Linked DNA regions of Caenorhabditis elegans. The protein of the gene in region 1 interacts with the protein of each later gene in a pairwise test. Each region holds a gene or a part of one and is shown in the gene's direction. Other genes may lie near its edges. The genes, in order: C09G1.4, sorb-1 and uso-1.

What was found.
Region 2: the proteins of C09G1.4 (region 1) and sorb-1 interact in binary tests that used the Caenorhabditis elegans proteins (3 or more experiments, as listed by UniProt).
Region 3: the proteins of C09G1.4 (region 1) and uso-1 interact in a two-hybrid assay, tested with the Caenorhabditis elegans proteins (3 studies listed by BioGRID).

The regions. Positions count from the first base shown.
Region 1 is NC_003284.9:15,994,949-15,998,702, reverse strand, and holds the start of C09G1.4 (uncharacterized protein), read left to right. Parts: upstream 1-1,765; 5' UTR 1,766-1,781; coding exon 1,782-1,863; intron 1,864-3,754.
Region 2 is NC_003282.8:13,748,651-13,752,404, forward strand, and holds the start of sorb-1 (SH3 domain-containing protein), read left to right. Parts: upstream 1-1,682; 5' UTR 1,683-1,685; coding exon 1,686-1,724; intron 1,725-1,772; coding exon 1,773-1,977; intron 1,978-2,002; exon of another isoform or gene 2,003-2,023; intron 2,024-2,208; exon of another isoform or gene 2,209-2,232; intron 2,233-2,392; coding exon 2,393-2,523; intron 2,524-2,534; exon of another isoform or gene 2,535-2,555; intron 2,556-2,609; exon of another isoform or gene 2,610-2,633; intron 2,634-2,846; exon of another isoform or gene 2,847-2,867; intron 2,868-3,105; exon of another isoform or gene 3,106-3,126; intron 3,127-3,139; exon of another isoform or gene 3,140-3,160; intron 3,161-3,276; exon of another isoform or gene 3,277-3,297; intron 3,298-3,739; exon of another isoform or gene 3,740-3,754. UniProt on the Caenorhabditis elegans protein: Required for organization of sarcomeres in body wall muscles and for maintaining normal mitochondrial position in myocytes.
Region 3 is NC_003282.8:13,452,802-13,456,555, reverse strand, and holds the start of uso-1 (Uso1_p115_head domain-containing protein), read left to right. Parts: upstream 1-1,757; coding exon 1,758-1,859; intron 1,860-2,774; coding exon 2,775-2,870; intron 2,871-3,056; coding exon 3,057-3,212; intron 3,213-3,275; coding exon 3,276-3,520; intron 3,521-3,754. Other genes in the region: Y38H8A.7 (uncharacterized protein), read right to left, coding at 421-472, 523-622, 667-760, 830-913, 961-1,050.

The DNA.
Region 1 (3,754 bases):
ATCTATTACCCGTTGCATAAATTATCAATCTTTAGTTTTGTTCGCTATTTTCAGTATTCTTCTTCTTTCTTTTTCTCCCCATTTTTTCGCGATAGATTTATGTGTTTCCTGATACATCACGTACATCCTGCTGCTTCGGCTCGCACAAAAAGAGAAGTTCGTCGCTTAAGAGTAAGTACATCATTCACTAAGGCATCACAACCATCTGGCGAGATTAAACATGTGTTTAACGAGAGGGGGACGGGATGGAACCCTAACTTTTGACGTGTGTGTGTGTCTACCGCCATTCGGGTGTTAGATTACCAAGCAATAATGCAAATGGGTTTGGCGGTTCAGATACTGATCATAAGTGAGTCACATTTTTGGTATTGCGGTAGTTTTTGAAGTTTAGAATTTTGAAGTTAAATTTTTCATAGTCCTCTTTATAGTCATTACCCTCAATTTAAAATTAAAACCCAATGACAATCACGAAAAAGTTTGCAATACCAGTGGTTTTATTAAACATAAATATTAGGGCTTTCATGCAGGCGACGTCTGCCTCGTGCCGCGAGCCGCGCCTCCTGCTTAGTGCTGCGCGGAACCCGAAAAGTGTCGGCCGCTTCCATGGAGGTCCTAATAGTTATCATCAAAAGCTTTTGGGGTCTCTTCTGAACAATCTCGCCATTTCTATGTTTTCGCCAAAAAATCCTAGTTCTATGTAATGTTTACACTGTATTCAAGTTCGTTTTTTTTCACTTTTCCAGAACATTCCTTGCTTTTCTTCTGTACACCCACTCTTCTATTTTTTTTCTTGTTATCACATTGTTCTGAACGACTGCATTGTGTGTTGTATGACCTTTTCCTTTTCGTGATCAATCCGTCCCTGGGGACAGTTCTATTAGGTCGGTGTGCCCACGAATGGTGTGCATTCTAGAGATAGTAGTGAAGAAAAACTGTTTTTTTTTTGCTTCAAGTTCGAATGCCGAAGTTGGTGTTCAAACATTGAATTGTCAATGGGGACACAAGTTGTTTTTTGTTTTTTTTTAATAGAAAGTTTTAGGTGCATTGTTTGGTTATTTTGGAAGAAAGCTGTATTTTTGAAAGCGTGCTCTTAATCTTTTTTTCCGATGCTCTTTCAATCAGTTTCCTTACTCATCATAGTAAAATCCGATATTTCTAACAATACGAGGGTAGCTATTTTTCACTATTTAAAGATTAAAGGGTCAAAGGACGATCCGTTCTCCAAGTGCTATGCACTGCGGATCTGGGACTCAGGTACACTGCCTGGTGGTGATCCCACTGGGTTGTAATTTAAGCCACGTCCGAGCCGGGGACTGTGGCCGATAATCCAGTCTTGGATTGCTCCACTTCCCAATAGGGGCTGGGTGAACCTAGGAAGTGAGGCCGGACTTGAACTCGTGACCTCCAGATTGCTAGCGGCCACCACTACCGACTGAGCTATTTGCCCCCTTATATATTTAATTACTCTTGATCAAAACACACCTAAAACTTCCAAGACGTCAGTACGTGCACCAGTGCCAGTCACGATTGTGTCCACTTTACATATATATCCAATTAACAGTGTCACTTTTCACATCTTTACGTCCATCTCGCTTTTTTTTCGCCTTCTTTTTTTCCCCTACTTTTCCGCAGCCCCCAAAAATTGAGAACATACCTTAACTAGGCCGATTATATCCCATCAGGTCTTTGATGTTATCATTTGTTTCTTTACCTCTGATATGTTATCTTTTTTTTCAAATTGTTCTCTTATAAACTTACAATTTTCAGAGACACAAATCACAATGTCTTCTGGAAATCGGCAGGCTCCAATGCCCCCACCAAAACCTCGAAATTTGGGGCGTGGCCAGTTTTATCAACAAGGAGGTACGTCATAATTATTTCTCACTTTTTTTTCCAAATTCAAAATTAATTTCTTCTTTTTTGCACCAGTCATTCAGTATTCGCTCGTCATCTACAAATAGAAAAGGGAAAAATTATGAATTTTCAATAGACGTACCTTTTTTTGAATACGTGTCTTTTTCGCAAAAAATGTTTTTTTTCTGTGATTTGTTTCTAATATTTTTTGTAAGAGCAAAGTTATTACCTACCATATGCCTAAAATAAATGTGGAATACTAGATTTCGAACATGGTGCATCGACTGGAAAATGTTTTTGGCGCTTGTTGCTTAAAAAACAGGTTACAAATATTTATTCACGTTTTTTTTGGAACATTTACTATGTAATACATAATTTCTTTTAACCGTTTGAACAATTTTTTTCCTGTTTTTTGCTCTAGTCATTTAGTATTCGTTCATCATGAATTATTTCCGAGCTAAAAGAGGCAAATTATGAATTTTTCAAAAACGTACTTTTTCGAATGCAGTGGTGTAGCCATTTTTGCACAATTATGTTTTTTACATGTTTCTATGAGTTCAGTTCAGCCACAGTTTATGGATACAGATATTCATAATATGAAAGATATTTTAAACACGTAACTACTTCTGGAGTTTTTTTTTTTTTATTTTTGTTTAGAATTGTGAATATGCTCCGAAATCGGTCTTTGCAGAATTTTCAAAGTAACATATTAAAAAATTATGAACATTATATTTTTTTCGGTAAAATGTTTGGTATTTTTTAACGGAATGTTTTAAAAAATTGCAAAATTTTTTCGCTATTTTTCTTTAAAAGTGGAGTAGCGCCAGTGGGAAAGTTGTTAAAAACCACTCCTTTGGTCCCAAAATGACCACATATCATAATGAAACTTATTTATTGTCAAAAAGTGACAATTACTCAGTTTTTGCCAATCATAATTTTGGAAGTCGACCAAAAAAATGTTTCTACATTTTTTATACAGTAATTATTTGGATTAAAACATTGTAGGGCCCGGAACATGTGAAATTGCTTTGGATTTCTTCAAAAGCTCTTATTTTTCAAAATTCTGAAAATTTGCCAAAGTTTAACCGGAAATTATGAAAAGCCTGAAATTTTTTGAATTGTATTATTAAGATATTTGGTCTTTTTAGATCATAATGAGTGTCTACTCCATGTTTAAATAATACCCGTTTTTGCCTATTCCCCAAAACTCCAGTGGCCATTAATAGTCTGCAAGAACTAATTTCGGAAAATTTAGATCTGAAAGTCATTGAAACAAAACAAACTCTATTAAAATTTTAGGAGCGCATTTCCGCTATTTAAAACTTTTCAATCGTCTCTGTGAAATAAATGTTTTCAAATTAGGTAAAACGTTAGGTAAGTCTTGAGTAATTCTTAGTTAGTGTTGAAAACGTTAGTGTAGAAAAAATTTTTTTTGGAGCAATTGAATTTAACTGCTAAATTGTGCGTTTGTATTCCAAAATTTTGAAGCGAATCTAACAGATATTTGATCTCTGGCTTTCAATTGCAAAGTAATTCTCCCTTTTTTGTCGCTCACCACAAAGCGTCAAGTTTTCTCAGTTTCAGTGTAACATGCCATACACACCAAAACGACAAGCTTTTCAAAATAAGAAAAACGGAAAGTGAGCAAGTGACGCGGCGCGCGGTCAGCGTTTTTTTTTGTAACCCATCTCAAATGCCAAGTCTCTGTGTTCGTGGACCTTTTCAAGCGAGACTATGTCTGTGTATGTGTGTGTGCCTTTTTCATTTTTGCTCCCGAAGAGCCCAGTACTACACATTCAGAACTTTTACACTTCTAGCTCGGCACCATGTGCTGATCTTGGTCCAACAAACCCCAACAAAAGTGCGTTCTGCGTTTTGCCCGCAACCCATTCCTGCTTAT
Region 2 (3,754 bases), on another chromosome or scaffold:
ACAATTAGTCTCCTAGGTTTATTCTTCGATGGCAAATTGTGATGCGAACGGCAAAAAACTATAATTTTTTTGAACAAATTTTTTGCAAATTTTAACTGTTTCTATGAAGTGTTAAAGTTTCTGTTCTTCCTTTGAAACTAATAAGCTTGCGCTCCACCTTTTTTTAAATACAACGGTTACTTCTGGCCAAAAGAGTACTAAATCAAAGGTGTGATGATCATGATCATAGTGATGAAAAAGTTTGTCTGGTCACTTGAGAGCAGTTCCATCTTCTCTCCTCTCATTCTCTTTCTCTTCAGCAGGTCCATCCGGCAATTGCTTAACAAAAATTGAAAGAAGAAAGACGAAAAGTGTGTAAAGTCATGTATATAGTGAGCAAAAAGATAGAGAGACGCAGACACTGAGAGAATGTGATTCTGTTTCGTGTCCCGGGGACAGAAGACGCAATGAGGGACATTCTTAGTTTCTCTAAGTGTGGCTCTCGCAACAATAATATCACTCGATTTACTGATAAAATTTTTCTTATTTTGGTTTTTTTGTCGTATTTCAAAATAACAACTTTTCGTAAAACCTAGTACTGTTTCGGGCTTGTTAACTATTACAACTGTGAAACGGTAATTTTTATTATTTTAATTTTCAATAATTTTAGTTTTCAGTGAAATACATAACTGATTTTGCAACTCCTACAATCATTGAGTTCTAATTATTTAAACTTAATGAAAGTGTAAAAAATCGTAGAAATAATTTTTTGGGTCGAACCCCAAATTCTGATAGATGAAATGTGGCCTTTTCCCTGTTATAAAAAATTTTTAACCTAAAAGTTTTACTATTCTTGAAAAAACTGCTCAAGTGACCAGACAACATTTTTCAAAAGTTGTACGTCTTACATACTCATGGACAAAGGTGGAATAGATTTGAAAATGTTGTAAAAGCTTTACCATTTCAAAGAAACAGTATAAAATTTAAACACTTGTTCCAGAATGTTATTTTCATTTTTAAAATTAAAAAATTACAAGTGTCTTTTCTATTTTAAGAAAACAAAAATTAGCATTTTTCAATTCCAGCAATGGCAAAATTGTGATTGCCGTGCACATTTTACCCGGTCTTGGAAGCTATTTTTAAAAACTAGATACATTCTCATTCAAGTCTCAAAAGGTGTTCAAAACTTTAAAAACAATAACTTTAACACAAGCATTAACATTTCAACAAAAATTATGATTTTAAGGATTGCGTCAATTGAACGTGAATCCATTGTGGGAGCTTTAACACTTAAATGAAACAGTCAAAACAAAAATTGACAATATGGTCATTTAAGTACCATCCTTATAATTCCAAAAATGCATTCTACTGGCGCTCCTAAATGTCAAATTTAGTTGGAAATTGGGTTCAAAATCTTTATAGAATTTAAAAATCTAGTGAGAAAATATTTTGAAAATTAAAACAAATTTTCAAGATGTCTGAAGTTTTCTGGAAAATGGAAAATATTCTTGAATAGTGTACATCCCATGAATCTGCAATTATTGTCAGATTGGGTAAAGTTCGAGAACTATAAAAACTGTTACAGTACAAATTTCAAAAAAAAATCCCATTTCTGACAGAACATATTAGTCTTCCGTATTTCACATTTTTCATTTATTCTTTCCTTTATTTTGTTATACAATTCTTCAAACTCCCATATTCCAGGAATGATGCATCATCCTCATCCATTCGGGTCAAACCTGGCGGTAAGAGCTTTCAATTAATCTACTCCACAATCCCTAATTAATTTCCAGAACTCATCAGAACCACAACAGCCATCTGGTCAATATCTAAATCCTGCAGCAGATGCCTACAACTTTGACACCTTTGAAGATTCTGATAAATTCTCACCGAAGGGAAATGTGGCGGCGTTGAGAAATGTGATACATGGGCAGTTGGATATGAAGACACCAACTGGAAATAGTTCCAGATATCAGAAACCAGCGCCTCCGCCTGTTGGTGAGTTTTGTTTTTCTAGGCGTTCTATGTATTAAGCTACGAAATAATAGTTTTCGGAAAGTAACACATAGCTCATATGAATTCCTTGAAACTGTAAAAAATGTTAGTCAACAAGATAGTCAACAAATACACGATTGGCTGAGACCTGGTACCTCGACGGACCTGGAAGATGAAGCAGCAATTTTGCAATTAGATTTTTGTCATTTTTTCTATTAATAGTAAGATATTTTGGTTTCTGTCCGAATGCTGCAAACAGTAACAATAAAGTTTTGAAGTAGTCTTATAAACTATCTAAAACTGTTTTTTTTGTATAATTTTTTCTGATTTTGCGGAAAACAACTCCTGATGTCTCTCCTAACCAGCAATATTCAAAAAATCCAAATGTTTTGATGTTCAATAAAATAATAAATTCCAGACTCAACTCCTTCCTGGGCCAAAAATGTAAAAGTATACGAACCAAATGGATATGTGGATCCACATCTTAACAAGCATAATATGGGAAGAGTACTTGATGGTCCTGTCAATCCAAATAAATATTTTCAAGGAGTGAGTTTTATTTTGAAAAAAACAGCGATACAATAAAGCAACGAACTTTTCAAACTGAAAACAATGTGCTGAAATAGTTAAATTTAGTTATTACTGACCATTTTTTACTGATATTATTTTCTTTTTGGCTTTTTTTACAAGCTATGAGTGAAACACGTGAGTTTTTTTCTAGAAATTATTATCGACTAAAGCTTCACTAAAAATTGTAAAATATGAGCAAAATTATTTTGAGTTTTGAAGTTTTCTACTTTTCAGAAATACAATTCACAAGTAATAATAGCTTCTATATACGAAATTTCAAAAATTTAACAGTTTTTAAGTTAAAAAAGAACAAACCGATCAGATCAAACCGGAAAATTGTAAATGTCCTAAATGGCTTTCACGAAACAGTAGAACTTTCTTTTTAATTTTCCGAAAACACAACTTTTCAGTTCTATTTTGAAAATTGTACATTCCGGGAAGTTTATGAAAAATCCTTATGTAGATAAAAATTTACGCAAAATTGTTTTAAAAAACGTTAAAATTTTGTGTACAGTTTGAAGATTTGCAAAAATTTAAAACAATGAAAATACTTTTTCGTGTTGTCTATGAAAACTACATTACTATTTTTTTGTGATAGGAAAACTTATAGGAAAAATGTTTTGAGTACTTTTTAAAACTTGCAAATGCAAATGACCTGAAAAATCGCCAAGACATTTCATGTTGTTCTAAAAAATTTAGTGCTTATTCTCTTACTTAGACTTGTTGCGACACACTGAAGATTGAAACCAATAAACATTTTTCGCTTGTTCTATTGTCATGACATAAAATTCCTGAAACAGAAAAAATTGTGGTTTCTATTTTTTTTTTTTCAATTTTCTATGAAAATTGGGTCAAATAGTGTCTGAAAGTTGTCATTTGCTGAAAAAGTTTCACGGCAAACCCTAACTCAGGCACTATTTGAGATAATTTTCGAACTTTGCAGAAAAAATAAATATCATTATCAGATAGAACTCATAGAACAAACCTTGTCCTACATTTCTGTAATGATTTTTGATACAAAAAAAATATAATCACCAAACTAAAATACGTAGGTTTGTACATTTGCTGAAAAGATTTTCCGCGCAGAACTGATTCTAACCAGGAAAATCAATAAAATTATAAAGTTTTATTCAATTCGGTGTTGATACCTCCAATTTCTTGCAAACGGAATGCCAAAATCAGTTACTTGAAATTCGAAGCGGGGAAATTT
Region 3 (3,754 bases), on another chromosome or scaffold:
ATAAATGGTAGTTTTCATTAAATAATAAAATACGCACTAAAAGGTAGGGCTGAAAATGTACTATTTCTGTAACTACGTGAAGCTTCTTGTACCTACTGGAATATTATTGGTATATGCTGAAAGACCTTAAAATTTACTACTCAGATAAACCGAACCACGCAGGCACCGCTCCAAACCACGCAGGCAACGCGTACAAACCACGCTCAAGAATGCCAGTCCCTGCGTGGTTTCAACGCGTTGCCTGCGTGGTTTGGAGGCGACACCTGCGTGGTCTTGCAGCAATGGCAGTTCGCAGCCCGCTCCTTCCCCTTCCTACCGTTTAACCATCTAAAACGCAAAGTACGAAAATCTCAAAAATAACAACAAAAAAAGGTGGGAAACAAAATTAAGTCCATTAGGCAGTTGTTTTCGTCCCAGTGATCAGTGTGATGGTGTGTCCTTTTCCTGGCTCATCTTTTTCCGTGCGTTCAAGCTGCAATATTATTGATTTTTGGAAATACAAATTGATAGAAGGGTGTTTACCATTTTTGATCCACCTGTCGGGAGAAAACATCGCCAAAATCCGCACTCGGGAACTGTCCTTCGAATCCGGCTACAACATGTAGAATATTGTGAAGAACGCCTGAAAATTTTTGTTTAAAAAAAAATTGGACAAGAATAGCTTACTGATAGGACAATTGAGAAGTCTTCCTTGAAGAATCTGATGATTCACCGAATTTGGGTGGACACTGAAGGTGTGGAGGAGCTCTGGAGGAATTGTCTGAAAAGTGAACTATTTTAACTACATCTGGATTTGGAGAATTTGTGCAGCTGCCAAACTTCTGTTCACCTTTGACTTGGAATTTTCCGCGATTTTCCTAAGCTCTTTGAAATCCCAGTCCATAGTTCGAACGAACGATTCCGAAGGTTTTTTCTGAAATTTTGTTGCTATATATTTTTTAAAAATAAAGTTTATCTTACGTTGAAGCGACCAATCGAATGCGGCGCCTCCAGTCCATTGCCACGCCGCTTTCGGCCTCCTTTTGGGGTTTTTCGGGCCGGGGTTGACATATTTACCTGAAAACAATTATTGAGTTTCATGAAGAAATTGAAAATTAATATAAAAGTGCTTTTTGCAAGAAAAAAAACGGAAAATTCCATTAAATTAGGAAAAAAAAATAGAAGAAAAAGTTGTCCAAGAGGAGTACGCAGCCATTGGCCTAGGAATCCCGCGCGTGGCTGAACGTTGGCTGCCTGCATGGTATGTAGGCGTCACCTGCGTGGTTTTGCAGCCACTGCCAATAGCTGCCCACCGTCAAGTCGCCTGCGTGGTTCCTAGGCGTCACCTGCGTGCTTTTGGTTGCCTGCGTGGTCTTGACGCGTTGACTGCGTGGTGGGCAGTCACCTGCGTGGTTTGGAGCGGTGCCTGCGTGGTTCGATTTATCTGAGTACTCTAACTTGGGCATTTATTTGAATTATATTTGAAGTATATTCGGAAATTTTTCTTTTTTTGAACATTGAAACACATTGAAATAAAATAAAATAAAGTTTGCCAGAAATTTCAATTCCAGTAATTTGTTGATTTGCCTGAAAGCTAATATATATCGAAATGTATACATTACCCGTAATCAAAACATTTTGAAGTAACAGTATTCTGTTATTCTATCCGTTTTCTCTTCACTTTTCTCTCCCGATCAACTCACTCAATGTGCCCTCTTCCTACATTACACTTTTACGCACTCTAACACTCTCTGAGCCGATAGTTTTATTCAATCGAAATGTTCGCTTATTCAACGTCTTCAATTACCGGATCAACTCTTTCAGTTAGATCGTTTTCCAGTGACACGACAATTTCCAATGCGTTTTTCAATTTGCCTCAGGTAAAGTTGTTGCAAAATATATTGATTTATTGTTATTTCTACTTTTAACCAATGTTTTTCAATTTAAAAAATTTTGAATTGAGCATATTAGCGCTGATTTTTGTTTTTTTTTAATTTAATATTTGAAAATAGCCTGTCAATTTATAAAAAATCTATGCTTTATATTTATTAAAGATATTAGCCAGACGGGAAATTTTGCAATTTTTATGTGTTTTGCGCGAAAAATACGGTAGTTCTTGGTCTCAAAACGACAATTTTTCGTTGCATGGAAACGGGTGCTCTCCTTTAAAGAGTACTGTAATTCTAAACTTTTGTCGCTGCGGCATTTTATTCGACTTTTCATTGTTTTTCTTAAAATTTATGTGTTTTAATTGTTTTACTTCAGTTTTTTACAAAATAAAAACAGCCTTTTTTAACGAAGAACTATGAAAAAACGATGAAAACCCTGCAACAACGAAAGTTCGAAATTACAGTACTCTTTAAAGGCGCGCCCTGGTTTGAATATAACAAAAAAAAAGTCGTGTCGAGACCAGGAACCGTATTTTTGGCGCAAAAATCGCAAAATGTTGGGTATGAGTATAAAATAAAACACCGTGACCACTGGCTTGAGCCACGTGTACGGTATTTAGCTGAAAAGTTTCGATCGTGTCAGGACTCAAGACTGTTCTTTTGGGGGAAAACCCGAAATTTTCGTGGGCAGCTGGTACTCTTCTTTCTGGATTTAATCCGGATTTTGACAGAAAATGTTTTCTCGACGATTTTATTGAAAATTTCCATCTGTTTCCCAAACTTTCTCCAATTTTTTTGAAATTCTTGAATTCAGTATAATTATTATTCAGTTGAATATGCAAATTTTGTTATTAAAACAATTGAAATATTTGTTTTATTCACTTTTTGAGCAGATCTTTTTTTCAGAGCAATTTCCGTCAACGTCTGCAAGCGAAAAAACGAAGTCCGAAAAGAGTCAGCAAGCGCGCTCCATTGAGAACGCATCCTCCAATTCCACGACAGGTTTTTCCACTTTTCTCTTCTTTTTTTCCCGTTTTTTTTCATTTATTTTATGTTAAAATTCAGAAAATAAAGAAAAATATTTAGAAATAAATAAATTAAATTAAAAAATGCATTTAATTATCATTTATATTCGCTCAACAACACGACAATCCCATTTTCCGCTCACTGCCACGTGTAGCTTTGCAGATGTCGCTGTTTCGGAACTTTTTTGGCGGCGGACAGCAAGATGAAGACGAGGATAATGGAGCTGAATATGTAGAAACACTTGTGGAACGAGCAGAAACTTGTACGGCACCAGAAGACCGTCGAGATGCGTTGAGAGGGCTGAAAGGTGTCGCAAAGGTGAGAGAAAAAATCATTTGAACTATTAAAATTAAACAATTAAAATTAAACGTGTAATTTCAGAAATATCGATTAGCCGTCGGAACAATGGGAATGAATGCATTCATTGACGTGCTTGAAACAGATCGCATGAACACCGAAGCCATGACAATTGTGCTCGACACGATGGCAATCGTTTTGTCAACAGACGACGATTCTTCAGAATCCGATGAATTAGGAGAACGATTAGCCGAAGTGATGATTAAACGAAAAGGCTTCATTTCTTCAGTTTTATGCGCCGTTGAACAATTCGATATTGGAGTTCGAAGGTTTTTATTCCGAAATTAACGAGAAAAAAATCAAGATGCTTTAAAAAATTCACTAATTTCAGCTAAAATCTCCAATTTCGTCAACTTATCGGTGTCACAACAACCGCAAATTAATTTTCTTTTTAATTTATCCGTATTTTCTCCGATTGAGATACATTTTCAGGCCAAAGGCACTGAATAAGGGGCCTATCGACTGAAAATTCCTCAAAAAACGGCAAAATATGATTATAATTG